Linked DNA regions of Danio rerio. The protein of the gene in region 2 binds, or shares a complex with, the protein of the main gene of each other region. Links are inferred from orthologs where the notes say so. Each region holds a gene or a part of one and is shown on either strand. Other genes may lie near its edges.

Region 1 (10,603 bases), on a different chromosome or scaffold from region 2:
TTGTTGAATAAAAACTAAATAATTGTGATTCTGATCGGCCATATTCAATACATATATGTTGTCTTGTGGGTGTCTATGTACAGCAGACCTTTTTTCTAACAAAAAATCATTCAAAAAGGGAGACAATAAGTTTGACCTTGACCTTGATTGCCAGGATATGTTATGAAGTCATATTTTGGCGTCCTTCATTCCCTCATTTATAGGATGGCTTTTAAAGGCAAAGGGGTCAAAGGAGCCCTGAGATTTGAGCTGGGCAAGGTGGGTTCTAGGAGTAGTGGGGGAGCGGAGTAAAAAAATAGGGGATGATAGATCACTTTTTCTCCTTCGTCCAGCAACCAACAGAGGTCCAGCTTCCTCCACCAACCCCTCGAAAAGAGTCCCCAGACTCTGGCGGATCCTGGTGCAGAAGTCCGGGCAGCTGAACGTGTAGATAATTGGATTCAACACAGAGTTCAGGAAGGAAAATGTCGTCACGAAAGGTAAGTACTCCTCCACCACATCCACAAACTCTGTTTTGTACTGAGCCGTCACCTCCAGCAGACAGAAGAGGTGGTACGGCACCCAGCAGAGGACGAACGTTGCGATCACCGAAAAGATCATTTTTGTGAAACTTTGTGATAGGCGAGTGCTGTTTTGTCCGTTTGATGAAGAGAGGACGCGGAAGAACTTTGAGGATGTCTGTTTGTCGTTTCTCGCAACTTTTAACCTGCTTTCAAGCCTCTTTCTGCGAGCCCGTAACTCCAGAACGAATGAAGCGTAACTGACGGCGATGACCACTAGGGGCACCACAAACGCCAGTAACACTTTAGACACCGCTGTCGCCGTTTGACGTACCTTACAGTCTATGTTCAAAGTGTTCGGGGAAGAATAGAGAGCGAAATCGTGGTAGCAGAGTTTGCGTCCATCTTGTTTAACCACAACAGAACGAAACATGAAGTATGGGAACGTGTTAAAAGCAGCCCACGTCCATCCGAGACCGCAGATCTTCCACGCCATTGACACTGTGCGTTGGTTTTGAGTCCACACTGGCTTAGTAACTAACAAGCAACGGTCCAAAGAAATAGCGGCCAGGAGAAAGGCAGAAACAAACATGTTGAGGAAAAAAATGGATGCCTGGGCTGCACACAATGGCCCACCCAACTCCCAGCTGTGTTCGTTTAGCAGGTAATAAGTGAACAGCGGGAGGGTTAGTGTGGTTAGGAAGTCAGACAGAGCCAGATTGAGAACCCACACTGAGGCAACAGTCTTGCGCTGAAGACGCCAACCCAACACCCAGAGCACCAGCCCGTTTTCCAGGATCCCCAGAGCGGAAACCACACCATGCACAATCACCGCCGCCATGTTGACCCGATTGTCATTGTTCAGCCGGTGAATGATCATCATCTGCAGGAGGGGACAGTGGAGCTCTGAAGGGCCGAGGGAAGAATTGGCCAGGAATGAGGAAGTCATTTCTGTTTAAAAAAAACAAAACAAGAAGCTTTAAAAAAAGAGAAACTTTAATAATATATTATGTCACAGTCTGAAATTAATCATACGCGTAAATTCACTGTTCTTCTTTATGATTTTTTTTTTGCCAATCTCTCTCATATGACCAACATAGATTTTAGCTCCAAACATCTCTAGCACACTTGTCTAGAAGTTTGTATTAGAGTTTGTAGAGTCTAAAGGCTTTGTTTAACTAGTTAAACACTTTTCTTTAGAAATAGGCTCATTTTACAAATTCCCTACAGGAAGGGGGGGAAAGTTAGGAAGATTTTAAGGGCCCATGCCATTTGACCAAACCCCCCGACTCTTCACAACATCCCCCCTCTTTACTTTTATATGTGTCACCCAAGAACTGCTTTCATTGGGTCCATACCGGCCAGTGGTGCTCCTGTCCGTATGCCATTATCCCATTGGCAAATCCCTCGTAAGGGTTTAGGGCATTGGGAAGAGCCCTTACGAACTTAATGCTGTGTGTGACACCAAATAACTTCCCTGCTGAAAGGATCATGGCCTGAAGTATCTATCAGTTCATAATAGCTCATTTTGAATACTTCAATATGGAGCACTTCAATATGGCAGCCATGATTTTTTTACTCTACCGTTCCCTTCGGAGGGTGATATATCTCCTTTAGGATGCTCTAATTGTTGGTTTGTATTTGTGCTTGTATAGAAGCCTGCAGAAGACAAGTATATACAAGTTTCCCTTTATAAAGTTTAGTACAATGAGTTTGACACTTTAACAAGGCTAGGTGAACTCATGCTATCTAGAAAACTGGTGTAGTTTAATGTAAAATATGAAAACAGAGACTTGAAAATGTGTATGTGTGTACATATATTGTGTTGAAAATACATTTCATGGCATTATAACAGCAAATAAGGCACATTACACATTTACTGTACATACTGTTGCTGTTTACAGGTATTCTTAGGGACTATATTTCTGCTGTAAGGATAAAATGTAATGTTTTACTTCGAAAAAAAAAAGCTCTTACATTTTAAGCTTCTTCGTGTAACCATTTTTTAAAATCATTAAAGCACTTGAGGTGTGAGGTATTGTGAATTACCTGCTGCTGAGGAGTTAAAATAAAGTCATTCCACCATAGGGGCAAAAAGTTAGTCATCAACATGAGGGTGAGTAAACCATGACTATCCTTTTAAAACAAAGCTAAAGTTCAGTTAAATGTTTCCGATTTCAAAATAAAATGACAAGTATAAAGAATGTAGGTGTCGATGAACTGTTGCTGTACATCTTTAAGAAGGTCACAGAGATTGCAAGAAAGTATTTTACAACAGATTTCCTAATGTTTTCAGATAAGAGGAAGAAGAGATGTCAGAGAAATAGGAAGCTGAGGTGAACGATAATCAGATGCGTTTTGAAGTTAAGTAAACTCTATCTACTTAACTGCATTTACAGTAATACCCTAATGAACAGTGGTTATGTTTAATTGTGTTATTCTGTCTGTGAGATTTGTGCTGATGCTATTTTGACTTAGTTTCATCTTATACAAAACAACACCACACTCTCTTCAAGACCTCAATAACATCATCTTAAGGTATGTGGAAATATTTATTCATTTTAGACGTGATCAAAAAGTCATAAAAGTTTTGAGTCACAAGGTTTGTCATGGTCTGTGTTTTGTTTTAGCTTGTTATTTCAGAGTCTTTCATAATAGTTTGTGGTATAGTGTTAAAATTATTGCATTACTGTGCTGAGCAGGAACTTTTTTTTAAGCACGAATCACTGTGTTACTTAATAAATGCTGTTTTGGTGTAAAACCTACTACAGTTTCATCTAAGAGTAATAATGGATCTCATTTTTTCCTGTAAAACATGCAGTTTGTCATGATGCTTAACCTGAACATGTCAGTGCCTGCCCCATGAATCTCTCCAACTGTAGTATTTACTTAGAAAACAAAGAAAGGTTTGAGGAAAAAGGAAAGAGAGTTGTGAAAAAAATTAATACATGTAATTATTATGTATTTTCTTTCTTTCTTTCTTTCTTTAATTATTATTATAAACGTGCAACATTTACTTTAAATCGCAATGTGATAGCCAAAATGTCATCTTTTTTTATTGTTTTTTCATTGGTTTTAATGAATATACAAACCAAAAAAGACAAAGACAAAGACAACTCAAGTATAGTAACAAAGGTCCTGTACTGTATTAAAAAAAATATATATATATTATTATGTATTATTAATAATTGTAGTCCAAATCGCATTTGTTTATAAGGTATCTTCTTTTTATGTAAATTTTTCTTTTTATGTAAGTTTTGCATTTTCTAATTTACTTTAACATTATTGGGGTTGCATCTCTGTGAGGAGTTTGCATGTTCTATCTTTAACTTCTCTACAATTTATAAAATATTTATTTATAAAATATTTTAAAACCTAGATTTTGAGTTTGATTTTTGCCAGCGTGTTTTTAATATTACAAAAATTTAACTGTCTGTTTTTATAATAATTTCTACATTGCATACACAACATTATTTTGCTAAGAAAGTTTAAACTTTAAAACTTAAAGTATTAAAGTTAAAACTTTAATACTGGGAAATCATTATTATTATTTTTTTTTATGCTGTAAAATCTGTAAAAACCTGAATTTTTACTAACCAAATCTTGCAGTGCATTCATTTCACTTGCATTAGTTACAGTTTCCAGTTCCACATGATGTTTCAGTAATCATTTTAATATAAAGATTTAATGTTTGAACATATTTATTTTATCTAACTATTCCTTGCTAAAATTGAAAAGAATGTCATTTATTTATATAATTAGAAAATATAATATAATTCATTAATTTATTCATTTTCTTTTTGGCTTAGTCCTTTCAATAATCTGGGGTTGCCACAATGGAATGAACCGCCAACTTATCAAGCATTTTTTTTACGCTGCGGATGCCCTTCCAGCTGCAACCCATCTCTGGGAAACATCCATACACACTCATTCACACTCATTCATACGGACAATTTAGCTTACCCAATTTACCTGTCCTGCATGTCTTTGGACTGTGGGGGAAACCGGAGCACCCGGAGGAAACCCACGCAAACGCAAGGAGAACATGCAAACTCCACACAGAAACACCAACTGACCCAGCCAAGACTCGAACCAGCAACCTGTGAGGCGACAGCACTACCTACTGCGCCGCCTATATAATATGTGCTTTCTTCTATCACCTCTGCTTTATTCTCTCTTTCTGAAATCATTTTATTGTAATAATTTAATGCTTGAGTCTAGTTTATTACCATTTTGAAAATTTTTAACTCGTTTTTTTTAAATAAATGGCATTTATTTATATTTTAAATTAATAAATTAATAATATAATATAATATAGTATAATATAATATAATATAATATAATATAATATAATATAATATAATATAATATAATATAATATAATATAATATAATATAAGAAGAGTTTATATAAAACAAACTTTCCTCAGGCAATCCATCTAATGAACACTTTATGATAGTAATTGTGAAACAAACATAACTACTTGCAATACCCTTTATACACATATACACTTATTCAACAACATACTTTACATGTCAGTTTACACACAACAGCTGCTCATATCACGTTATATATAGTAATATACCTTTACACTTGCCAATTTATATATTTGCATTCACTACTTCTATTTTTAAAATATTTTTATGTATGTCTCTGTCATTCTGTTGCACTAGAAGCTCTGTGTCCAAAACAAAGTGCTTAAACATACCTGCCAATAAAGCTGCCAATAAATTCTTTTCTTTATACAAACCCCAAACATTTGACACTATGTTTTCGTTCTGTTCTCAAAAATGTCTCTAGATTTTCAAGACTCCATGTACCATAAAAGGCAAAACAGTTGACAGTATCTCAAACAAGTTTAGTCAGGTTGACTATTTTAGCCTTCATTCTGCAACAATCACCTCAAGCATGATGGATTAAAGCAAAACATAGCTTTAGTGTACTGTTATACCTCAAAGCAGCTTCTTTAGTTCATCTTTAGGTGCTCCTGGTTGCTTTGTTCTATCACCTCTGCTTTCTTCTCTCTTTCTGAAATGATTTTAATATAATTGAATGCTTGAGTGTATTTTATTACCGTTTGGAAATTTTTTAACTTTGTTTTTTGATTGAAATAAATTTAAATAAATGGCATTTATATAATTTAGGTCTTTACTGCCTTTTGAATATTACTTATATCTTCATTATTTTACAAACCTCAAACAATATTTTTCAGCTTTATTGAGTGCTTGTCTTTTTAATCTGTTCTCAAGAATGTCTCTAAGTTTCAAGACTCCTTGTACCATAAAAGGCAAAACAGTTGACAGACTCTCGAACAAGTTTAGTCAGGTTGACTATTTTAGCTTTTAACAGTTATCTCAAGCACGATGGACTGAAAGGAAACCTACCTTTTGTGAAGTTTGTGTACCGTTATATTTATAAGCATCTTCTTTAATTCATCTTTCGGTGTCTCTTGGTTGCTTTCGTCTGTCACCGCTGCTTTCTTCTCTCTCATTTAGATGTTATTTTGTCATTCCTGTGTCTAATACATCATGAGGAGAGGCGGGGTCTGTCACAGTAGAAAGGAATAGTTTTCGTGGGTCATTATGTTTTTCCACCGTGTTTTCTTCTAGAATGCAGAAGGTAGCTGTTTAGAGTCTATGCGTGCTTTTAAAATCACAAATAATGCCAAACAATACATGTAAATTATATTATACGATCTTTTTAGCCACAAGGCACAGTTTCCATATTTTTTGTTATCCATTTATGTATGGTCGTGAATTGCATTATGGCATTGACATTGATCTCTGCTCTGTAGACTGTTCAGACCAGATGTTGAAAATTCAACTCTACTGTTTAACAAAGTGACTTTTATTCACTCTTTAGTGGTTTGAAATAATATAATGTATAAGAAATATTATATAAAGAAATATCTCTTTAAAATAACAGAAAATACACTGGCAGCTTAGCACAACGTTTTTGTACCGTAATATACAACACTGACCCAGATAAAATATCACTTTAAACTATTAAAAATGTTAATAAAAGCCACGTTACGTTAAGTTTGAACCTTAAAATACCGCATTTATTTATTGTACTATGCTGTAGCTGAATCAAATGTTGGACAATCTAGGTTTTATTCTGGATTTAACTACTGCATTTAACTGTTTGTCGAATATAAGAGCAGCTTCTATTTGACAAACAGGTAAATGCAGTTGTTAAATCTTGTTTTTTTTTCTGCTGAGATTATTAGCCAAAGTGAAAAAAAGTTTTTAACTCGTGCAGAATTTGAGAGATTAATCCATGCCTTTACATCATCACACATCATGTCTTCAAGTGGTCTAAAATGCAGCCCGAGTTTAAACACATTACCCTATCCTGTGCTACTTAAATTGTTTGGCGATATGTTTTAGAATTGAGTTTTAAGATTTTAATGTATGTTTTTAAGGTTTTAAATGGCCAGGCTCAGACTTATCTCTCTAATATTATTACTGTTAAAATATCTTGCAGATGTTTAAGGTCATAGAACCAGAAGATGGTAGTAGTTCCCAGATACAAATAAACGAAAAAAGGAGATGAAACTTGCTCTGAAGTAGGTCCTAAAATGTGGAACGAGGTACCCCATTCCTGGCAAAATTGGGATCATAAAATCCGGGAGAAAATCCGCGGTGAGCACAAAGTAAAGAGGGTGGTTTGGGGGGGGGGGGGGGGGGGGGGGGGGGGGGGGGGGGGGGGGGTCAACAACTGCTGTTTTATTGCTCTTTATAAATAAATAAACTAAACTATAAACTAAACTAAACTGTAAATACCTCAATAATGAAAGCACAGTTTTTTGTGTCTCTTTAAATGCAATAGAGCTGTTGCTCCCCGCTCCTCTCCAGTAAAGGGCGGAGCCTTTACATCTTGTGTCTTAGTTTATTTTGATGCTCATATGATTTTAAAGCTTTGTCAGTTTAAATTCCAGCTGTTTTCTGAGCCCAAAGACACTAAGAGCATACAAAGATGTTTGATGGCCCGTCATCTGAGAGTATTTAAAGGCACAGTTCACCTAAAAATAAAAATATCTATAATTTCAAACATTAGTTTCTTTCATCCATTAAACACATTACAGATGATATTTTTAAAAATGTTGGAAACCTCTATCGACCTTCATAGTATTTGTTTTACTTACTCTGGTGGTCAGTTCAGTTTAGTTCAGTTTTCTCCAAGACTTTTGTGTTCAATAACAGAAAAAAATCATAAAGGTTTGGGACCACTTGAGGGTGAATAAATGGAGTGTAAATTTTCATTTTTAGGTAAACCTCTTATACTTATTCTCTTTTACACCAAATGTCAAAAAAACACAAGGTTATTTCAAAACAATACATCCAATATTGTTTAAACTTGGATTTTTCAAATAATCTTTGTTTTTTCATGCCTGTGAAGATGCTAAATGACTAAATGTAAATGTAAATGTAAGATAAACACTTGGGAGGAGATTGTATCGGTGTCATTTTCTTTTCAGCTTAGTCCCTTTATTAATCCGGGGTTGCCACAGTGGAATGAACCACCAAGTTATCCAGCACTTTTTTACGCAACGGATGCCCTTTCAGCCGCAACCCATCACTGGAAAATGTGTCAGAATATTAGACCTGTAAAACATGCAGATAGCACATTGTGACTCAACCAAACCTTCTACCCTTGAATTATTTCAACTGAGAATGTTGTTTAATGCACACGCCCGAAATTACCTTTCAGGACTACAGTGGAGTTCACTGATAGAGAATAACTTGCTTCAGAGTGGACTTTGTGCTTTGGAAATTTGCAGATTTTGTTCATGCTTAAACAGCAACATCACACATTTAAGAAAGTAATTGTAAAAAAGCATGATATTACCTCTTCACATTAACTGGCGAATGTCTCATTTACTGTCATAAATGTAAGGGATAATGTACATCTAGGTGGTTGTTCTAGCAGAATAAAGCTGACAGGCTTATCAGCAGTGATTATATAACACTGAAAGGCTTTATTCTGTGAAAACCACTGCCTAGATACATTATCCTGCTTATTACATGGCTACTTGCCACCCAATGTAAACAAGTAAACACATAACATTGATTTGACATGTATTGATTTAATAATTAAACATAAACGTGCAGGTGAATGCAGCAGCAACATAGTATTCAGTCACAAGATGATGCCGAACAGTAAGAAAAGCGATATGAGTCACATGACATAATATAAAGCATACTTGCCAACATTTTTCTCCGAAATTCCAGTAGACCAGGGGGGCTGAGTTGGTTGGCAGGGCTATTCTGAGTAACGAAGTTGAGTACCAGGGGTTGTTTGTGTTGTAATTGTAATTGTACAATGGACCAGATTAGATTGACGACCAGGGTAGGGGGGGTTGGGGGTGTTGATGTTCAAAACTGTACCAAAAAGTTGAGGACCCGGGAAAAACTGGAGTGTTGGCAGGTATATGATAAATATGTATAAGAATGATGATTTGGACCAGCAGGATGCGGTTGTTATCTACATTGCTGTTACTTTGACTGAATCTTAGACAGAATGCTATATTTATAAGTGATATAAAGGAGGTTTTAAAGTAAAATGGTGGTCATTATGAGTTGTCAAATGGTAGGCTACATCTCGAGTAGAAAATAAGTTCAATGAAAATGCGGATTTACCACCCTTAACGGCTCTGGCCAAATGGTGATATAAATATTTATTTTTTAAATTTGCAATTCAGGAGATGATTTTAAGTATATATATATATATATATATATATATATATATATATATATATATATATATATATATATATATATATATATATATATATATATTTAAAATCATCTCCTGAATTGCAAATTTAAAAAATATCCTTAAATATTTTGTTAATTCACTATATATATATATATATATATATATATATATATATATATATATATATATATATATATATATATATATATATGTATATATAGTGAATTAACAAAATATTTAAGGATATTTTTTGGCTATAGTTGCACTTGTACCGTCTGACATAAACAATGAAGATGTAAATTATGTAACTTATTATTAACTAAAAATATTAATTTTTCTTCGGCTTAGTCTCTTATTTATCAAAGGTCACCACAGCGGAATGAATCACCAACTACTTCAGCATATGTTTTACACAGTGGATGACTTTTCAGAACTGGGAAACATTGACTAAACAACTGACAGTATTTTCTGAAACATCAGCAAGTGAGAACAGGTGTGGTCTTATATGTGGAATCTGACCTTTTTTTAAACTTTATATATGCAATGTACTGGAAAACACATTTGGGAGTGGAGACCATAAAGCAAATTAAAATGAAGCAATCCATAAGCTTTACATGTATGGTCAAAGGTGCTTGACCCAGTGAAAACACATCATCTGACACTGTTTTACAGTCTGATCCTCACTCAACAGCAAGCATCAGGTTGGTTTTATTATTCATGTTGCCATAATAAAACAACTTAATTCACATTTAATGCAGGCTGTCATAATTTTACAATTTTTGTAATGAGTGTGACGCGACAATATTCTAAAATAATAATAATTAATAATTCCTGGTTAATCATTCACTGAGGTGTGATTGCATTTTTTCTGAACACTGAGAGATAAGACATTCACTATATATGTGTCTTTAGAGCCTGACAAGGAGCCAACAGATAGGGAACCGACTTAAGAGAGAAGGTAAGAATATCTCAAAATGTTATATTATATTATATTATATTATATTATATTATATTATATTATATTATATTATATTATATTATATTATATTATATTATATTAGTACTACAATTCTGACACATTATACATATTTATAATTTGGAAATAGAAAGAATAATAATCATTTTTTGTAAAATGTGAATATTTGATTAAATATTTAAATTTCTTTATGAATTTGTTTTACCCAAATATGAGCCGGCATATTCCAATCCTCTCACAAGTCTTAAGAATCCATCATAACATTCAGCCAATAAAACGTATTGTTAAATTGGTTGTTGGGCATCTGAATAAAAAAAATGCTTTACTAGTATTCAGCTTTTTTTTTAAATCATTAGATTAAACAAGAAATTAGGAGATTCAGGAATAATAACACTGAATATGTTTT
Region 2 (10,599 bases):
TGCATTCATGGACATTTATTGATGGTACTTTAAAGTGCTGGAGCATGCAAAATTATTGCAGGGGTTTTGTTTTGGCCAGCTAGAACATGCAGAAATATTGATTTCAATTTATTTTTGGCAGGCAATTGAACAACTCGATCTAACCGCCCAAATAAACACACCACTTTGCATCGTCTTCTCATGTACTACAAAAACGTTTAAGAATTGACCATTCTAGGCCATCGTCATACGACCTACTTTAAAAAGGAGTCAAGCAAAATGACTTTCAATTCAAATGTAGAACAATTTGCAGCTGCGCAATGTCTTGACTCTCAAGCAGCCGTCATCTTTTCCATTAGCCTGATCTCAGTTGTCAGATTTGAGCTTGAGTTAAGAAGAACATCATCTAGGCCAGGACAGGAGAAAGGATGAAGAAATAGTGACAATCACAACCTTTTTCAAGCTCTATGGGTCAGCTGAGGACTGTGAAGCAATTAGCAATACTTCTGAGTGATATTAGCACTATATAAGAGGGAAGCCACACATATGCTTGTTACTCCCAGATGTCTGTGGTCAGGCAATCTAACTGGAGCACTACAAATTTGGTTGGATCCATTTCCTGTAATTGCCATTGGCCTCTGGTGCATTATGCCATGTCCTAATTGTGAAATCAATGGCTCCATGTTTGAAAAGTGAAAGTTAACTGCATAAATGAACTAAGCTAATGGCATATTGGAAGAACACAAACATTTTTGGAGGGTTTTCATGAACACAACCCAATGAAAGGATCAAGCATTCAATGAAGGTGGTTTTCCTGGCGATCAAAACATTACAAATGTTTAGAAATTCACATGCATAGCAAACACCGCAGAAACTGACAAAGAGTGGTAACAAGGAAACAAACGAAAAAATTTAACAAGTCTAAAAACACGCTTTAAATCTTACAGATAAAATATTGAAAGTATGCTGAAGACAACGAGCGCATCTCCCTCCAGCTGCATGCGGAGAAAATCTTAAGATGCTGGAATCACTGAAACATGGCCAAAACCTTTAAGTTCCTTAAAGTTTCAGGTTATACTTCAAAATTCTTACCTTATGCGGCTCACACAAGGCTCCTTGTGTTTGACAGCCAGAAAATGTTTCTCTTGGTCAATGTCTTATCCTTTCCTATACTCTTGCCTGTTCCTGATTGGCTGACCTCTTAAATGGACCCGTATCAAGACAATACGCCTAAGTCCTCTAATCTTGCTGATCAAAATGACATGGTTACAAAAGGTAAGTCCCTTACCTCACCTTCAGTTCTCATTTAACAGTGAAACCCAACATGAAAATATCCATACTGAAATTCTAGTAGCAAAAATTTTTTTTAAAAAAAATCAACAACTACATCGCCAATCCAAAAGTACAATTTATATTTAAATTTTTTAGGGAAAATAGATGCATATAAAGAATGTATAGCTTTAATAATTAAAAAAAATCATGTGTACACAACACTAATTGTACAGATTTCCAATATCAAACTATCAGCATCAATATCAGTGTAGTCAATAACCCCCAGCCCCCAAAAATATGCAAAATATGTAAAAATATGTATTTACTTATGTCTGAAAAAACAAGAAGGGCTACAACTTTAGCTTTAAAAACAATCCCTTGGCAATATACATCAAAAAAACCTAACATGACCAAATTCTTTTTAAAATGCACACTACACATTTACGAGCAGAAACACACTCTACAACTTGAACTGCAAAGTTAAATGCCTCCAAAACTAACCTACTGAGACTGATGCACATAAAAAAAGGATAAATAAATAATAAAAAACAACACTTCTCACTTTATATTATTTAAAACCTGGAAAAAGAGCCCAAATATTACTAATTTACAGTATTAGCTTAATCATCCTGTTATAAAAACCACTTTAACAATGACAGATTATGATACGGTCATCAATTTATGCAAAGCTAGAATTTAACAATGTAGTTCAGTGTTCAAAATCAAGAGCAGGGCTCGCTCTTTGCCGAAATGAAACTTCATTATGCATAAATACTGGATATGCTGTGCCAAAGGCCAGATGCAAAGATAGCACAAAAGCAAAGTCGAATGGCTAAATGCAGTAAGGCATCAACATATGTGCAAGCAGAGCTCAATCTCACCCTCTCAACAAACACTTGATCAGAGTCAGCTGACTGCAGGACAAAAAGAGAGCTGTAAGAAATGGCCTAAAGGTGCCACAGACTGCGTATTCTCAGGTCACTCTAGGGCAACTCGTTCTTAGATCCTTTTGGAAAACATTTATTTTAACCAACCCTTTTTTTCTTGCTGATCTGAACACATTTAAAACGTTTCATTTGACGAACTTTATTCCATCAACATGAATTACACCAAATGTTTGAGGATGGCGCGGCTTATTAGGCATTAACAAAAGAAAAATAAAATGCATATCGCTAAAGCTGGATCATAGAAAAGACAGTAACCAGCACTATCACTATCCAAGCCTGTAATCCTAAAAGCTAAAATCCACGTACAGTAAATCTATAATCCCTCTCAGCGTCACCCATGGAAAAACAGCTGTCCAGAGCTGGGCTTGCAGTACACAAGAATTTGTGGTAGTGTTTCAGGGGAGCTTAACCTCTGTATTAAAGTATTTACTAGACTTTTATTATTTATGCTATACCAACTTCTAGCTATCATTCATGCAAATAAAGGTAACTTTAAATTAGGCATGTACCGGTGTAAGATTCTGACAGTATGATAACCCTGGATAAAAATATCACGGTATTATGATTACAGCTCTAAAATATGTTCTCTTTAAATTCATAGTTAAAAACAAAAACTTTTCCCCCATTGAACATAGCATATTTCATTTTGAGAAACATTTTAAATATTTTGGAGCAGTAAACATGTCAGGCTAAATCGTTAAAATGAATGATTGACCTCTACGGTCTTCATCAGTCTCTAAAACAAAGATTTCTTTACAATTTTAAACAAGATTTTTGAATAACTTTTTTTTGCTGAAGATACTGTGGTCCTAAAAATAAAACGTAAATACATTTTTTTTTTTAAATCACATACCTTAGGGAAAGTATAGAAGGTAAAGAAGGGTTTAAAACCTTGACTTTTCCAAACTGCGGTATATCATAAAAACGGTTATCGTCCCATGCCTACTTTAAATACAGAAACTATTTTTTGGGGTAAAAACTTGATAAAAAAATAATGCAATTGAGCAATTCCAACGCTATGGATGTATAAATTCAGTAAAAACTCAAACCTTAAATTCACAGAAAAAGTTGATGTGAACATTATATCGAAAAATCGGTTTATATTTCCAGAATCACAGAGTTATGGGATCAGAAAAAAATCTCTGTAAACATATTTTAGATTTTAAATAAAGAAAGTAAACATGCATTATGGATGATGAAAAAAAAAGTCTGCAAGTTTGCAGTATACAACATACTTTATAGAAATTCTATGAATTAAACAAAGCAACCCAAAAGAAACAATGCTAATTAAAAGGATAAGAGTTGTTCCTCTACAGAGCAAACATGACTTATTTTACCTTAGATTTTTGCATTTATGAGATGAAAGTTATGGATGTGGCAGATGTGAAATTGCCACTTGTGTGACTTTGCTAAATCAAATATAATAGTTTGAAAACATTGACAGAGAGATTTTTGAGTAGTGTAAGCACTGCAAAGTATTTGCCAACACCAAAAATGTAGAAACAGTTTCGTTATTTTGGTTGAAGCTTAGTTTTTTCATGACAAGGCTGACATTTACATGGAAATGCTCAAATCTCAACATGCTTGCATTAAAACACCTGCGAAAACAAATGGGCGTTAGTTTGAAAATCAAAATAGATATTCAGAATTACATTATCTGAATAGATTTCAATTATTCCATCATAATTATACACATATCAGCTTCTGAGGTGCCCACTGCGAATCAATCTGATGCTTTTAGTTATCCACAATTACAAAACTGCATGTGTATCAATGCAGATTGCACAATGTATAATGCAAATGGATTACAAGTAATGCTTCAGCAAATGTAACACTGCCGAGTAAAACATGAACAATGACTATAATAAACATGATAAGCAAAGAACCAACTTAGGTGCATAAAAAGCAGGATGTCTGGGAGGGAGTTAAAAACAACAATGTATGCAATGAATCATCCATTATGCTTTTGTTTTAAAATAAAATCAAACAAAAGTGCATTATCTAAACACAAAAGGGTATTGTGAGAGCTTATGTGCATGACTGCAAAGAAATGTCTACATTTATAGCACCAGAAGCACAAGTTGAAATCAACAAAATGTGAACGATCACGTCACGGTGGACTCGAAACACTATTTGATATTTCACAATTGCATTTCGCGTCATAAAGGATGAGGTTATGCAGCTTTAGGTGCCACACAAAGAGCATTTTATTTAAAAAAAAACGATAAACTCTAGCTTCAAAATATGTTCCTGGAATCGTTTTTAAAACAACGAGCTTCGTTTAAGAGCAAAACGGTGCTTTTTTCGGCGTTTCAGCGGGTTAAATGAACGGCATGCTGATATGAGTGCGGAGAGGGAAGCCGGAGAGAGAGGCTACGGACGCCATCTTGTTCTTGGGCCCCACATTGAAGAATTCATTGATTCCGTTTATTTATTCATGAACGGTGTTCCTTTATCTAAATGCCAGCGAAGAGAAAGGCAAACTCGATCGGTAGGGGAAAAAAGAAGGAGGGGGCGCAACATATTTATCCCATAGCCTATATTTCCCCGACCAATCCCTTAATAGTGACCTCAATACTGAGCCGCTAGCCCGTTCTTAAAATATTCCAGCAGCGATGATAAAGGCCATCCGGCTCCATTCATTTCGCGTATCTGAAGAACTGCAAAGCTCTTTGCTGCATTACTCTGATACACGATCGCAGGAGAAAACACATCTAGCAGGTCTTTTATTCTTTATCGTCAGCAAAAGCAATTCAGCGAGAATCGTAGCGGAGCATCACCGAGATGTCGCGAAGAGAGGCAGTGCACCTATATACCTGAACAGCAAAGGCCCTTTAAACACAGGCTTAATGAAATCCAATTAGGTTGTTTAAAAGAGTAGTTAAAAGAAGCAGCGCACACTTAACGCAATAAACATTAACACGAGCTAAGTCGCTTAAATGCACACGGGATTTCGGATTACGCCATTCTGACTCGTAATAAATCCATCTCCATGTAAATGTGTGTAGGGGAAAACACACTAGGACGGCTTGTAATATACAGCCAGATGGTGTAGATTGCAATAGACGATCGGGTGAACAAATAAATGGCTAATCTTTATTTACCGACTGCATTTCGATCAATATTCACTTGTAGTACACGAGAGTGTGTAAACCAGCATTTGCCTAACCAAAAATCCTCGATTCTGTAACACAGAGGAAGGCCTAGCTGAGCTGAAAAGCCGAATATTTTGCCAGCAGAAGCTCCGGTAATTAGCCTGTTAGCTTACAGACCAGCCTCCAACCAAAACCCCCCAAACTTAACATTTAAAGCAATCTTAATTGCTATTAAAATGCCCCTATCAAGCACATTACTGAATTCCCCCAAACCTAAATTGGTTTAATTCTGAAGTAACGCCGATTTTTGGGTGCTAACAAGCGAACTCGCACTAAACGGCCTCCGGTTAAGTCGGCCGACTCAGTTCACGCCATAATGACCGAGCGAGAGATTAAATGCACTATAAATTCACATTAATAAAACACACACGATGATAACTGTTTAAAACAACCGTTTTTCGCATATTTGCCTGCCACTGTTGTGTATGTAAATCGCTCGGCTAGCCGCTACCTGCGCCTCACCCCACCCCCCTTCATTCTCTATGGTGACCAGCATTTTATCCAACAAATTCACCCGATTAGAACGAAACATTCAGTTCCACACACTTGAAATAAGCACATAGTGTTCCATACCTGTTCTCAGTCGTAAATGGCCTTTGTTTATATGGCATTGACCGAAAAAAACGATGGTGTGGCTGTCAAATCCACGCATCAACGAACAAGACGAGCTAGCTCGCTAACTAGCAGCGGGAGAAGTACCGAGTCCACTTCCACAGCGACAAAACTCGCTCCGGCGGGCGGGAAATGAGCCTGTACGAGGGGGGATCTCAACTGCGAGGAAAAGCTGCACTCATAAATGTCCGATTGGAGACTTTGGTCAGCTAATAAGTCCGTCGGTGGCCACTTCCCGTTGCCTTCCTTGAAGGAACACTTCTCTCCAGTTCAGTTCACCTCTCATCCGGCCATCAGACGGAGATGGGCGCGGTAACCCTGCAGTCTGCCCTGGGAAACCCCACGCCGCAGCGCACGGGCGAGCGGCGCTCTTACGCAGGAATGGAATTGACAGAAACATTTCCAAGCCAATTTAGCAAGATTTGAATACACTGATGTACTTTTTAAAATGCTTAACGTTTTTAAAAATATTATACAACCCATATTCCATTAATAGATTAACCTGAGCAAAGACTTTATGGAGAAGACCGAGGCTTTGTCACAATTTACTACAGAACAGGTTTTTCTCTATAGGTTTAGCTGTACTTTGTTTGAAGTGAGATTTTGATATAGGCACAAGTGCAAATTTAGAGATTTATAATAATAATTATATTAACAAAATCATTTGAGAAAAGTATTGTTTGCTAATTCTGAATAGTTAAATCATATTCGCAGCCAATGACTATCAAAGTAGTCCAACAGTGTTGATGTTAATAGTGCTAATGTTGTTTTGAGAAATCGTGTAGGGGACTTATATAATTACAGTGAATTTATTAACACTTTTGGTTTAAAAAAATACTTTGAATAAATACAAAAAAAAATGTGTTCATTGTATCTCCCTAAAATAAATGTACCTTATTAAAACCACAAAAATATATAACCATGTATCTGGCTCTCTTCCAGAGCTTACTATTAAGGGCCTCTCTATCATGGATAAAAAACTGAATAACAATTATATCAGGAAAATCCTGACTGCAGATAAAAGTGTTCCTCTAATAGCAATGGTTAAATGGAAACAAGCATTCCCTTCATTCTTTTCCCCCAAAACTCTGGTCAGATTTTACAAAATACATACTTCCCAATAAAGTAAAATAAACTATTTGTAAAATATTACATAGATATTATCCATGCAATGGTTTTATTAGTAGGTTTAAGGAAGGTTTTTCACCTTTGTGTTGTTTTTGTAAAATGGAACTGGAAACAATTCTTCATTAATTTTTCAGTTGCAGTTACACAAAACGGCTTTGGTCCCAAGTTTTCTCACTACTTTTTGAAGTGTATTGTAAATTTATCAATATAACTGATAAAATGGTTTTATTTATGGACTGCAACTCTGGGAAATGGACAAAATAACAAAAAAAATCTTATTTTATTTGGAAAGTATCACATCCGCAAAACAAAATGTATGCTGACTGTATTAAAGTGTAAACTATTCTTCATTGATCTAAATAATTTTATGATTCCCTCACTTCTATACAGAGTAATACTAAAGTTTAAGACATCCCAATTGCTGGAAAAATACTTAATGTACATAATTAATTTTTGTTGTTAATTTTCTTGAATACTGTTTAATGTATAATTATGTACTCCCCTGTTTAATCAATAAATTTTTTTTTGTTTTGAAGTCGTATTTGCACGCGATTTCAGAATATTCAAAGTAACATGCTAAACAAGAGCGCATGTAACAAGTTGTTACTGAACCAATGTGTGAATATAAAACCAACTTTACATTAATTTTTAGGGGCCCTAAGCAATTCCACCCAAAGGGCCCCAACAATTCTAAAATGCACCCTTTGTACTTTTATTTATATATTTATTTTTTCTTATATCACTAAATCTCCTTTTCTATGTTTTATCATAATGCAATCTCTACATCTTAAATAATTAGTTTGATTTAAATAAAAATACAACTGAAATAATAAATAGACTATTTCGTTTTTAAAAACAAAATCTTTGCCAGATTTGACTGCGGGTTACGTAAAAACATTTGCTGGAATAGTTGGGGGTTCATTCTGTCGTGGCAACCTCTGATAAATTAGAGATTGATAAATCAGAGACAGAAAATGACTGAATGACTGCTCTATAATTCTGGATGGGGTGCAAATTTGCGTAAATGGAATAATAACATTAATATTTTATTTGTTAGACCTTTACCATAAAAAAATTGTCAGAAAGTTCTGTGATGCAGTGCTAAGCATAAATTAGTACACCCCTCACAAATTTGTCTTTTATCTTTTCATATTTATAATAGGAAGCTATACAATATTATATATGTGCATTAGATTAGTAAGTACAGAAGCCAAATCTGAAGCTAATCTAACAAAATACTACAATCTACAATAACAGTCCAAAAACAAGTACAGCCAAATTTATGTTATAGAAAAATATTAGGAAAAATCAAGAGAAGCAAAAAAAAATTTGTAGGTTGAAATTTTTTTTTTGCAATATTTAGCTTGAATTTAATTGTTTTATATTTAATTTCAAAATATGTTTAGTGACTAAAATACTAATTTTAATAAATATATCTGTTTAATAAATCTGTTTTATTTAAATGCACGAAAACATATTGCCTACATTCACTGAGAAATAAAAATATTCAGTTTCTAAATGAGTTGTGCTAAATAATGCTGAGCACTCAATAATTTATAAGTATTATTTATACTTCTAGATATGGCGGCCTCTAGATTTCCTAGGGCCCGTAAGCGGCTGCTTACCTCTCTTATTGGTTAAATCCACCCTTGTATAGACGTGACAACAAAAACAACTGATATTTCTATTGCTATTAAAAAAAAAGAAAACTATATTTTGGTAATGTTTGTTTGACTACCAAAAATCTTGTGTAAAAGTAACTATTGGTGAGGAAAAAACTAATTTAACATAAAGGTAAATTGCTTCAATTATACTGCAAACAAACATTATTGTCTATGAATTAATGTAGTAATTTAATCAACAAACAGGAAAAAATGTCTGATATTTCATGACTTGGACAAAAATATATTAAAAAATTATAAAGTTCAATGTCTAGAACAGGCGCTTTAATAAAAATCCATGATATCCCAGAAAGTCCATGACCTGTGGGGATCCTGTATAAAATAGTTGCTCACTGACAGAATGATTGATTACCTTTAACGTCCACTGCCAGTTAATGGTCACCATTGACTTCCATTGTATTTTCTCACACTGGAACTCAATGGTGACCATCGACTGTTCGGACACCATCATTTTTCAAAATGCAGACAGAAACTTAAAAAGAGAGTCAAAGAGGTTTGGACAGTGTTTTCATTTGGGAAGGGAACAACATCTTTGTGTAATTATTAATTAATATTTATGTATTTATTTTTTAATTAAATATTTTTTATTTATTTATTTTATTTTATTTCTTTTATTTATGTTTATTTATTTATGTTCATTTGTTTATTTACTTATTTATTTATTTATTTATTTATTTATTTATATTTATTTATTTATTTATTTATTTATTTATTTATTTATTTATTTATTTGTGTTTATTTATTTATTTTTCTATTTATTTATTTATTTTTCTATTTATTTATTTGTGTTTATTTATTTATTTATATTTTTGGGCTCAAGCATAAGTAAATTACTTTAGTCATATTTACATTTAAATTCAAGCATTCGGCATATGCTTTTATCCAAAATAACTTATAAATGCAAAGTAACAAGTAATGAAAGCTCAAATTCCTCAATTATTACAAATTACTCAAATGCATACAAACATAGATAATATACATGAAGAAGGAGTGTGTGTGTGTGTGTGTGTGTGTGTGTAGTGTCCGATTTAATGTTTAACTCCATACAGAAATGTCAACAGGACCAGCTTCTAGCCTCCACCACGGTGACTGCAGCTCTGCACAAGACTTTTGGCCAGCGGAAAAATTAAAATGGTCGTCCCCAACTGAGTCTGGTTCTCTCAAGGTTTTTTTTTCTCCACTCCTATCAGGTGAAGTTTTTTATCCCTCTCCGCTGTCGCCACTGGCTCGCATGGTTCAGGATTGGTAGAGCTACGCATCGATGAATTTGCTCTTCAGTGTTTGAACTCTAATGATTTTAAATCACACTGAACTGAGCTAAACTGAACTGAACTTAAACACTAAAAAACTGAACTACACTGTTCCAGTTACTATGACCATTTATGTGAAGCTGCTTTGACACAATCTACATTGTAAAAGCGCTATACAAATAAAGCTGAATTGAATTGAATACACTAGGACCAATTTAGTTTATTCAGTTTATAGCGCATATGTTTGGACTGTGGGGGAAACCAGAGCACCCAGAGGAAACCCACTCGAACAAGGGGAGAGCATGCAAACTCCACACAAAGTCAACTAATCCAGCTGGGACTCAAACCAGTGACCTTCTTGCTGTGAGGTGAAAGTGCTAACCACTGAGCCACCGTGCCGCCCTAGTATTGCAAACGCCATGAATTGAAACTTCATCATACATTTTTCATTTTATTCTTTTTCAATCACCTCTGTAAAGTATTACTAAATATAAATGACTAAATATGTTATTATTAGCCAAGGAATAGTCATGTGTCTTTCTTGTGTGTTTACCACAATATTTGTTTTGTATTT
Region 3 (10,869 bases), on a different chromosome or scaffold from region 2:
CTGTGATGAGTTAATTAGACCAGTGTGCTTATTGAACTGCACTGGGTTGATTGTAATTTCACAGAAGCTTCCTGTGCTTAACAGGGCTGAAAGGGTCATGTGTGCAGGTGAAATTATTCTTCCTGTGCAGTAATATAAACACACAAACACATGTCCTTGGGGGCGATTGACCTCAGACTCTTGTTTCCAGCATGAAGTCTGATCTACACTCACAAACAGGTCGAAAAGGATGCGTTCTGAGTATAGGGTTGCATAATATATTGCTTCAGCATCGATATCACAATGTGCACATCCGCAATAGACGAATTGCAGGATAGGCAATGTTGAGTTGAAATTCTACTAGACCAGTAGCTATGATTTTTGGTGTTTATGCAGAGTTGAACTACAATAGAGTAAAATATTATGATATGCCTGTGGTTTTAATGGCTGAGACTGTTTCAAGAGAGCATTTCAAGAGAGCTTAAAGCATTCAGGCAAAAAAAAAAAAAAATGTTAAGACTCCCCAGAAACCCTCTATTGTTTATCTATGATTCTAATTTGTTCCCCTACATAACCGTCCCAATCCAGCATAACTATTTAATTATTTTCAAATTGAGGTATTTAAAGGTATAGCTCACCCAAAATGAAAATTACTAGTGGTTCTAAACTTTTATGGGCTTTTTTATTCTGTTAAACACAAGAGAAGATATTTTGAAGAATGCTGAAAACCTGTAGCCTTTGACTTCAGCAGTGGGAATTACAAACACTACGGAAGTCAATGGTTACTGGTTTTCAGCATTCTTCAAAATATCTTCTTTCGTTTTAAACAGAATGAAGAAACTCATACAGGTTTGAAACAAGTAAAGGGTGAGTAAATAATTACAAAATTGAAAATTCGGGGTAAACTATCATTTTAAGTCATCTGTCATATCAAGACATATTTCAATAAATGTCACAGAAAAAACTAAATATCGCAATGTCCGATTTTTCCAATATCGGCCGGTCTTACTTCTGAGCTCCCATCAGGTGTATGCAACTGATAAAACAACGGGCAGCATCGTGATGGTAATATGCTATGGAAAGAGCTGCAGGGCGGAGAACAAACTGATAATAAATGTCATTGATGGCTTAAGAGGGCAAGATTACACATTCATAAGCTTTACTTCCTCGCAGATGGACATTTTCTGGCCTCATTTTTTATCTCAATCATCAATACGACAAGTCAATCATCTCAGATCTGACATTCTGACCTTACAAGCTGCTAGCTAAAAGTTATGCTTGGTTCAGGCTACATAACATTAATGTCTTTTTATGATATTCACTGTAATGGATTATGCAATTTTCCCTAGATATAAACAGACTTGGAACTCTTTATATTTCAAAGCAAATAAACAATATAAGCAGATAAAAAGAAATCATGATTTTTTTTTTTCTGAATCTGTTTACACTAAAACAATGCAAACAAATACACAACTGATTTCTTGTAAACCGTAACTGCGGAAAACACATCTAAGATACATGGAGATTTTTCTTTAACCATAGTCTTCTTTTTCACACATTTAAACACTCTTTTTAAGCACTGTGATGTGAAAAATGCATCATCATTTGGAGGGCACCAATCAAAATTCTCATTGCTAACCTGAGGTGGACGAAGCATTTTATTTTACTGAAAGGAAAACAACACTACTAAATAGGGCTGCACAATATATAGTTTCATCATCGATATTGCAATATGTGCATCAACAAAAGTCACATCGCAGAATTTTCAGTGTTGAGTGTATGTTTTGGGATTATAGTTGACTTAGAGCCACAGATCAAAACACATGAGATTTGCAGAGTCACTAAAATAGAGTACAAATGTATCATTTGCATGTTTCTTCAGCCTGTGACCTGTTTTGTTTAAAAACAATGCACAAAATATTTTCAATAAAGACTAAATACACTGAATTATTTCTACATGTGAAGACTAAATAGTGGTGTTTTACACTTGATTATTCTAAATTCTAAATCTGAATACTGTTAGACTCCCCCAGAAAACCATAAAATTTATTTAATCATTGCTCTATTGTGTGTATATATTTTGTAATTTATTTGTTGTATTTAAAGCAAGATTTCCTGCCCTACAGAAGCATCCCAATCAGTCTAAATTAATGAATTATTTCCCAATAGAGATATTAAAGTCATTCGGTGAAACTGTACTCATATCGCAATATATATTGCAAAGCAACAAAATCTTGCAATGTTGGATTTTTCCAATATCGTGCATAGACATGGGACGAAAACCGTTTTCAAGGTATAAAGTGATTAGGAAAAGTTTGAGGTTTTAAAACCACCAAAATTGTCTGCTATACCATTCAATTAATGTGTAAGACTTTTTATTCAGCATTTCTTTTTTTTGTTTGTTTTTTTTAGGACAACAGTATTTCCAGCAGAAAATATATCTAAATATGCCATTTTAAATTGTAAAGAAATCTGTGTTTTGAAACTAATGAAAAGAGCAGTCAATGATTTATTTTTTATTATTCAGTCTGCCATGTTTACTGCTACAAAATATTTCAAATGTTTCTCAAAGTAAAATATATATTGTGTTTAAAAATATATTGTGTTTTTTACCAAGACATTTAAAAAGAATATATTTTAGAGCAGTAATCACAATAATGTGAAATCGTTATGTTTTTATCCAAGGTTATCATACCGTCAGAATCTTATACCAGGCCATGCCTAATCGTGCAGCCCTACTACTGAAAATAAGCTGTTATCACCCCAAAAAATAAGCTCACTGATATGTCACTAATTTTAATTCCTAAATATTTGCTGTGTCATGATTACATAACCTCAAATTATACACAGTAAAAAATGGTGGGTTGCACACAATTAATTTGTGTTGGGACAACATAAAGATATTTAGTTAACATATCAGTTTTTACCAATTTAAGTGGATTGAACAAAAACCAATTAAGTTTTCCCCAAACACACTCAAGAAATCAGTTGTTTTATTTTAAATAAATTATGTGAACAAACAGCGTACTTTATTTTTTTGAGTGTACTTTATTTCCTGAACAATCCCTGCTTGATATCTTTTATGGCATGTGTAATGTCAGACGACGATGTAACTTTTTGAACAATCACTAGTTACTGCGTTTAATTACATGTGTGATGTCATTGAGAAGGAGGGACAAGCAATTGTTTTCCTGAAACTAGAGCATAAGCACACAATGTCTCCATTGGAAAGCCACCAGAAATAAAAGAAAGTGAACAACAGTAAGTGCGCATATAACTTCATCAGTCTTTCATTTTGTCATCTTGAAGAACTGAAGAATTTCTCCTTTTGGTCATTGTCACATATAAGACAAAACCCTGTCTTTATTAATTAAAATAATTAAATAAAAAAATGTTAATAAAATCAAAGGATGCAGGCACAGCGCTGATTATCATCCACTGGGAAATTACTGTATATAAGATTAAATTATGAAAAATTACCATTGTTGTTTATAAAGCACCACAACACCCAGATGGATTGTGGCAAAATTTAATTGATGTTGTCTAAACCAGGAATGAATCATTCTTTCAGTTTAAGGAGTAAAAAGCAGATATCGCTTTACTTAAATACCCAGCCAGATCACAGCAAGCTCACCAATGTGCTGATGCAACGCAAAGATGAATATAAGTCAATTAGTGCTTGTATGAATTCCTAATTGCTTTTCTGCACCTCTGCCAGCCACGTGGGACGTTTCACAACTCTGGAAAAGCTGCAAAGCAAAAATCACATTACCGTGTCTTTACTCAGTCAGTATTTCTAAACTTTCATAAAATCAATCATCACTCAAATGGTTTTTCGGAGGAAAACACTCTCTGCTCCAGCTGTCCACAGTGCTGAAAGTGATAAAATGCACATTAATGGTAGCGGAAAGCTTGTATGTTTTGACTGTCAGAGTTTCAGCGCATTACTTCATAATGGTGCCAGACTGGGCCACGGTCCAGAGCAGAGACTGATAAACTCGCTGCATCCTATTTGAGGCTAAAAATAACAGCTCTGTTCCTCTTTACCTTTAAGTGATGTCATTTCGCATTATTTCGAATCTATGATATGCTTGTGATGCTGTGCCAAGCTTCTATTATAAGCTGAAATTGACATTCTTTAAAGAATGTCTTGCAGCTCAGCTGAGGACTGGCAGGGGATTGTGTCCTGTCCCTGCTTGTATTTACTGTCTACAGAATTCAATAGCACACCCACACACTGCTGAGTCACATTGGCAATGATCTCCCTCGTGGAAGGATTGTCATTAATTACCTCCACAGCTTCCCTTAAAATCTCAGTGTCAGGCAATAGTTTAATGACACCCATTAAGTGCTACTCTGCGATAAAAAAAAAAAAAAGTGAAAGAAAAAGCACAGTAAAACTAGAACAAAAACAGCTTTTTAATATACTGTCACTTTCAATAGAAGAAATTAATTAAATTCCAAACACATTTGGAAATGTTTTAACGACAAAAAAGTTTTTGAATATCTGGTTCAACTTCCAGGAACAAAATGCTTTGCAGTCACTTATGATATTCACAGCTGCATATATTATTTAGACTGTAAGTATACCAATATACTTAAAGCATTAAATCTTTTTGTTTACAAGATGCTAGCACCAAACCCAGGTGTTGGGTGATACAATGGAAAAGTAACACGATGTGCTGAATAAAAACTAACCTCTATTCTATAGTAACTGTCAACAACAAAGTGACAGAGCACAGGGTTACTCACACAATACAAAACACACTATTAAAGAATATTGCTACAAATACTAAAGACACAACAAAAACCGGAACGCACAACTATTAACAATTTAACTTTTTAAATGAGACCAAAACACACTGGCACTTTGCACTTAAGGTTCTAGGAACTCTACTTAACAATAAACATGATTTTAATAATAATGATGTACATGTTTATGTTCTTCTCCCATAATTTCAATAGTTTTACAACACAATGCGGTCTTCTACCATTTTTACACCATAGCTAGTTAACTAATAAGCATATTAAAGTTAACCAATTAAATGTTCTTGAGTTTTAGTTCTTGTAGCTTTTATAACAAACAACATGTTTCCAGTAAAGCTAAAACACGCTTTGATGGGATAATAGTCGTACCTGTGGATGGAGGATGCGACTCATTGCTCCAGTGTGTTTTTCTGCAGAAACCTTCAAACAGCAGAGCGCTCTCGTGCTCCAGATGCAGCTGTCCGGATGCTCTGCTCCGGGGTGACAGACCTCTGCTCGAAAAACAATAGATTTGCACCCCGAGGATGATCAGTGCAGCATTTACAACTGGAAATCAGCAGGGCGAATTATGCGCGCATTTGAATCGCTGCCTCATTTTCACCCACTTCCAGAGGAGTTATTATTAATATAAGCGACATATCCTTGTGTTTCGGGGTATTCGGTGGACACTTAATCCTCAATAAACAATCTTCTGTCGAGTTTGACTACTTAAGGTCCTGGGAGGCAGGTGTAAAGCGCTTCAATCACGACACCAATCACGCCCGACACCCAGTCAGTGTTTCCAGATATGATAAGCGTCTCGACCTGCTCCCCTGCGGCTGGAACTGAACTTTTCCAAAAGTACTACCACAATTTTAATCTCGTTTACAAAATTATCCGTTCCTTGTTAACACGGCGGATCCTCTTCACGTTGCGTCCTCGCACTGACTGACCCTCTGTTTGAGTCCCATCGGTCAACGGTAAAGCGTTCACACGAAGCCCTACATGACAGCGAGGAGGCGTCACTGCGCGCGGATAAAAGGAACAGACGCTGAGATTTTGCGCGCGTGCGGGTAAAATGTAGTCCGAGAGAAAATGTGACAACTGTAAGAAGTCTAGCTGACGCGCGAGCGGAGTTCGCCGGTGCAAACTAATCCGTGCCGTTCCCACGCGGGCTGCGCGTCTTTAACCAAACCGGCGGTTCACTGTTTAGCGCGCGCGCTCCGCAGCGGCATGAGACTCAACACCGAGCAGCCTTCATAATGAGTGAATTCCATTCGAAAGTGAGCATCACTACACCCTGTTCAGTCTGAAAGGGGGAGCACTCGAAGAGAGTAGACTCTGAAGGGAACAGGGCGCATTTGAAACACATGGATATGTGTCTACGTCACTGGCACTTATTTTCATCCTAAAGTTATGATGTGAAATCAACATTTTGATGCCGTAATGTTTGCGTAAAAGATTTGTCCTTAAGGTAATTTGCAATGGTGTACGCTGATTTTTTTTCTTTTTTTTTTACAGATTTAAAAGTTTTGTTTTGTAACTATTTGGGTTGCATGAGATTAAAAAAGTGTTTGAATAAAGAAAATGCCATGAAGTAAGTTTGAATTAGCACATTGATTACAGTCAATGCATTATAGATGCACTGATTGAGTTGCATAACCCCTCATTCACTGTGTCTTAAGCGAATGGGTTGTCATGCAGAGATAAAACATAATATCAAATCTTTAATATGAAGTTTCATCTGAAGGTTTTCTAAAATGTTTGAATGAGAGGTGACAGGATATGCCAATTTGTCTCAATAATAGGTGCCTCCAGTATGAAAGAGAGCCATTATCTACAGTGGTGGGGTTTTGTCTCATTTATGGACAGTGCATTCAACATGAACATTCACACTTTTGTATGGCTTTGGAGAATGCGATCTGTTTGTCAGTATGCAAAGCAAAAGTATGTTATTTAGCATAAGTGTAATTTAGAAAAAAATTGTCATCCCATTTCCCCAGGGCGAAAAGTGCTTATTTTGGCTTTATACTTTATGCAACGCTAGGGAATCATATAATCCTTTAGCTCTTTTTATCTCTCGATCCATCCAGCTCTCCGTCTAATGATCCTTCTAGTGCAAAGAAATTCTGGACAGTTTTGTCTAAACAATATAGCATCAATTAGGTTTGTTACATACTTTTTTTTTCACTAAAACATATATGTATACACACACACACACTACATCTTAAACTCATGGTGAACTTTAGTTTTCAGTATTGTTGTTACCACTCTTATGTAAAGCTGACAGCACAGCAAATCCTCCACATGTATTTCCAGACACTGTCCCCTTTTTAGATTTAAATTTGTTTTCAGGGTCAGGAATCGCAGCAAGTCCAAGACAGAGGTGTCGAAAAGAACAACTGGCTATATTCAATCATTCTCCATATCGCATTAATGCAGGTCTGCATTCTAGTTGCTTTATAAAGACACAGGAAATGATTCAAAATGCACGACCCTCCACAAGCTGTCTGAGGTCAGCCTGATGATTCAACGTGTGTTTCATTATTAAAATTGTTTACCGTGTTAAAATGAACTGCAGCTCGTACAAATATCTGTATTGCAAGATTGATTTTTTTTAAAACTTAGAGTTAGAGTTTAACCAAATGTTGTGTATGATATTATTTCTTTTGTGGAACACCAAAGAAGATATTTTAAAGAATGTTTGAATTCTTTTTCTTTTTTTGTTTTTTTTTGTTTTTGTTACAACAGTGGACTTTCACTAAACAGTTTTGTTCAGATAAAATAAATAAAAGCACTCAGCAACGCACAACAAGTAAATAGTGAAAATTTAACACTGGATTAAATATTTTTTTAAAAAGTAATATCTTCCAATAAACAGACGATACTTTAGAATATAAAAGTAATGAACACCAAAATTTATAAGTGTTTTATTGCATATAATTATCTATTGTATCTGCCACCTGCGTACAGTAAATCTCATGTCATGCTGTCAGAAATCCATATATATTTTTTCTCTTACACACTTTCCAGGAGAGCCATTCAAGACAAAACCATTCATTATGACAGCACCTGCAGTGCCATACGTCTCATTTTACTTTATGGCATACTGTCAGCTCTGCAGTGACATATTGACATCAGTTATGATGGCGCACTGTGCACTTTCGACATGTTGTACGTGACTTATTCATATCGCCACTAATCGTCACAGGGGCATTTCCGAACAGAGTCAAAATGGTAAGGGTGATCTTGTCCTCCCAAAGGGAAATGTCCTTTTAGCCTGACTGAATTTAAGAGCAAGCTCTAAAAGCAAGCAGGATAGGCATTATTGATATAGACGTATGCACTTGACAAGATCAGATTCTGTTTTCCTTTTAGGCCTGGAAATGAGAGTTGAACTCATTTTTAATATGTTGAGAAGTGATTTTTCTTTATATCTGTTCCATTTACTGTTTATTTAGGAAATGATTCAGCCCACACACATGTAATTGAGTGGAGAATATTTATGCTAAAAGATGAAATACATACCGGAAAGTTATCTCAGTGATACTAGCCTTTTCTTTTTCAGCAAAACATGACAGCTTAATTTGATGCAGGGCATTTTTATAGCCTCAGGGGTTGTTCAGTTTAATTTGTCTTGGTTGTCGCTGCTAAATAAAACGAAACTGGGTGACATAATGAAAGCTCTTTCTAAAAGTCAAAGGTCATGTCCATCAAACTACCACTAAGACTTCCGGCTAAAAAGTTTAGGGCATTCTCATTTATTGCTAAATAGATATAATTTGCTTCTTGGTTTGATTGATAATCCTTGTTTTTGTTTTGGAAAATTGTGTGACTATTTTTCAAAAATGTTATAAACATAAAAAACAAAAACAGTAACTACACAACCTTAAAAAGAACCTTGTCATCGATTCCAATTGTAAGAGCAACAAATAATAACTGGACTTCTAGTTGATCATTTGGAAAAGTGGCAGAAGGTAGATTTTTCAGATGATTCATCTGTTGAACTGCATCCCAATCCTCACAAATACTGCAGAATACGTAATTTGAACCTGTATGGACCCAAGATTCTCACTGAAATCAGTCAAGTTTGGCAAATGAAAAATTAGGGTTTGGGGTTACATTTAGTATGGGGCCGTGCGAGAGATCTACAGGGTGGATGGCAAAATCAACAGCCTGAGGTATCAAGACATTTGTGCAGGCCATTGCATTGCAAACCACAGGAGAGGGCAAATTCTTCAGCAGGAAAGTGCTCCTTCCCATCTATCAGCCTTCACATCAAAGTTCCTGAAAGCAAAGAAGGTCAAGGTGCTCCAGGATTGGCCAGCCTAATCACCATACATGAACATTATTGAGCATGTCTGGGGTAAAATGAAGGAGGAGGCATTGAAGATGAATCCAAAGAATCTTGATAAACTCTGGGAGTCCTGGAAGAACGATTTCTTTTCAAAGTTATTTGAGTCAGAGATGTATGGATGCAGTCCTCCAAGCTCATGGGAGTTATACACAATAATTATTTTTCCACTTTTTTTCACTATAACTTTATATTCTATACTGTACAAAATTACTGTTAAGTGACAAGACTTTTGTTTAAGCAAAGTCAGAGCTTACTGTCCTAAATAAATAATTAAAAATCAAGACATGATCATATTTTATTTTGGTAAAATAAACGTAATCTAGAGGCCTTTGCCTTTTTTATAAGCCACTTCTGATATCAAATGATCAACTAGATCTCAAGTTATCATTTGTTGGATAGGTGACTTTTTTCAGGTAGTGTACAGTATAAGTAAATGCAAAAAATAATGGTATTATTAACATAAAGAGTTTTTGTGTATGTGTGTGTGTGTGTGTGTGTGCGTGAGTGTGTGTATTTATTGCTATTAAGCAAAAAATACAATTACTTACAAGAAATACAATTACAGATTTCCTTTTTTTATTTAAGCCACTATTAGCTGTTTTTGTATAATTTAACATATACACCTCATTTAACATGAAGATCAACTTTTGATTCAACTTTTTTTTTTTTTTTTTACCACAATTTAAACAATATTTCAATCAGAATATTTTGAAGCTACAAGAATACCTCTGTAAAAGCATAAGACAAAAATAATGGCTTTATTCTCCAGAGTTGAGGATGTCCTTCGGTATTTATTTTTCTGGACAAGTCAGGACTGTCACTGTTTATGGAGGATAAGGGAGCTCTCAGATTTCATCTAAAAAATCTTGATTTGTGTTTGAAGACTGACGAAGGATCAAGGGAGATATAAGACCATGAGGCTGAACGGTAAAACATAATTAAAATTGTTGATGATCTAATCCTTTATTCATTCAATCATTTTCTTGTCGGCTTAGTCCCTTTATTAATCCGGGGTCGCCACAGCGGAATGAACCGCCAACTTATCCAGCAAGTTTTTACGCAGCGGATGACCTTCCAGCCGCAACCTATCTCTGGGATACATCCACACACACACATTCACACACACACTCATACACTACAGACAATTTAGCCTACCCAATTCACCTGTACCGCATGTGTTTGGACTGTGGGGGAAACCGGAGCACCCGGAGGAAACCCACGCGAAGGCAGGGAGAACATGCAAACTCCACACAGAAACGCCAACTGAGCCGAGGTTCGAACCAGCAACCCAGCGACCTTCTTGCTGTGAGGCGACAGCACTACCTACTACTGTACACAAATTGAATAGAATTATAAATAAAATCAAAGGAATAAACAACATCATACAAACATGAAACAAAGGAAAAAGCATACTCAAATGGCTCAGGTATTATAGATCTTTTCTTTGAGGCCAACAATGGTAAAAGCCCAGCCCCCTTTCACTTAAACTATATAACCGAGTGTCATCTGCATGGAAAAGCACTCTGTTTTCTAAAAAAATTGATCCCAATGAGAGTGGATGCAATGAGAACAAAATAGGGACAATAATAGATCCATGGAGAACCCCACAAGTTAGATGTGCATTGGAGGAAAAACAACATCCGATACATTTTTTTACATGAACTGAAAAGGTTCTATTGTTTAAATAAAATTTGAGCAAATTAAGAGCAAGACCTTTAATACCAGCACAATGTTCAAGTCAAAAAAGAAGAATGTCATGACCGATTGTATCAAAGGCTGCACTCAAA

What was found. The genes of interacting proteins can lie anywhere in the genome.
Region 1: the proteins of gnb1b (region 2) and prostaglandin D2 receptor 2 are in contact, whole or in part, in a cryo-EM structure (PDB 8XXV), measured with the Homo sapiens proteins. The link is inferred for Danio rerio from reciprocal best matches to the Homo sapiens genes GNB1 and PTGDR2. Residues at the interface, in NP_001269468.1 of Homo sapiens: Thr50, Arg52, His54, Leu55, Gly310, His311, Asp312, Ser334, Phe335, Lys337; in NP_004769.2 of Homo sapiens: Cys59, Arg60, Arg62, Lys314, Arg317.
Region 3: the proteins of gnb1b (region 2) and crhr1 are in contact, whole or in part, in a cryo-EM structure (PDB 6PB0), measured with the Homo sapiens proteins. The link is inferred for Danio rerio from reciprocal best matches to the Homo sapiens genes GNB1 and CRHR1. Residues at the interface, in NP_001269468.1 of Homo sapiens: Arg42, Arg46, Arg52, Phe292, Val307, Ala309, Gly310, His311, Asp312, Phe335; in NP_004373.2 of Homo sapiens: Arg145, Ser146, Lys376, Arg380, Asp383, Lys384, Ser386.

What each region holds. Positions count from the first base shown.
Region 1 is NC_133176.1:47,345,495-47,356,097, reverse strand, and holds the start of prostaglandin D2 receptor 2, read right to left. Parts: upstream 5,994-10,603; 5' UTR 5,885-5,993; intron 3,039-5,884; exon of another isoform or gene 2,797-3,038; intron 1,452-2,796; 5' UTR 1,450-1,451; coding exon 169-1,449; 3' UTR 1-168.
Region 2 is NC_133181.1:56,061,644-56,072,242, forward strand, and holds the start of gnb1b (guanine nucleotide binding protein (G protein), beta polypeptide 1b), read right to left. Parts: upstream 6,206-10,599; 5' UTR 5,927-6,205; intron 1-5,926. UniProt on the Homo sapiens protein: Guanine nucleotide-binding proteins (G proteins) are involved as a modulator or transducer in various transmembrane signaling systems.
Region 3 is NC_133178.1:20,399,837-20,410,705, reverse strand, and holds the start of crhr1 (corticotropin-releasing factor receptor 1), read right to left. Parts: upstream 5,994-10,869; 5' UTR 5,140-5,993; coding exon 5,116-5,139; intron 1-5,115.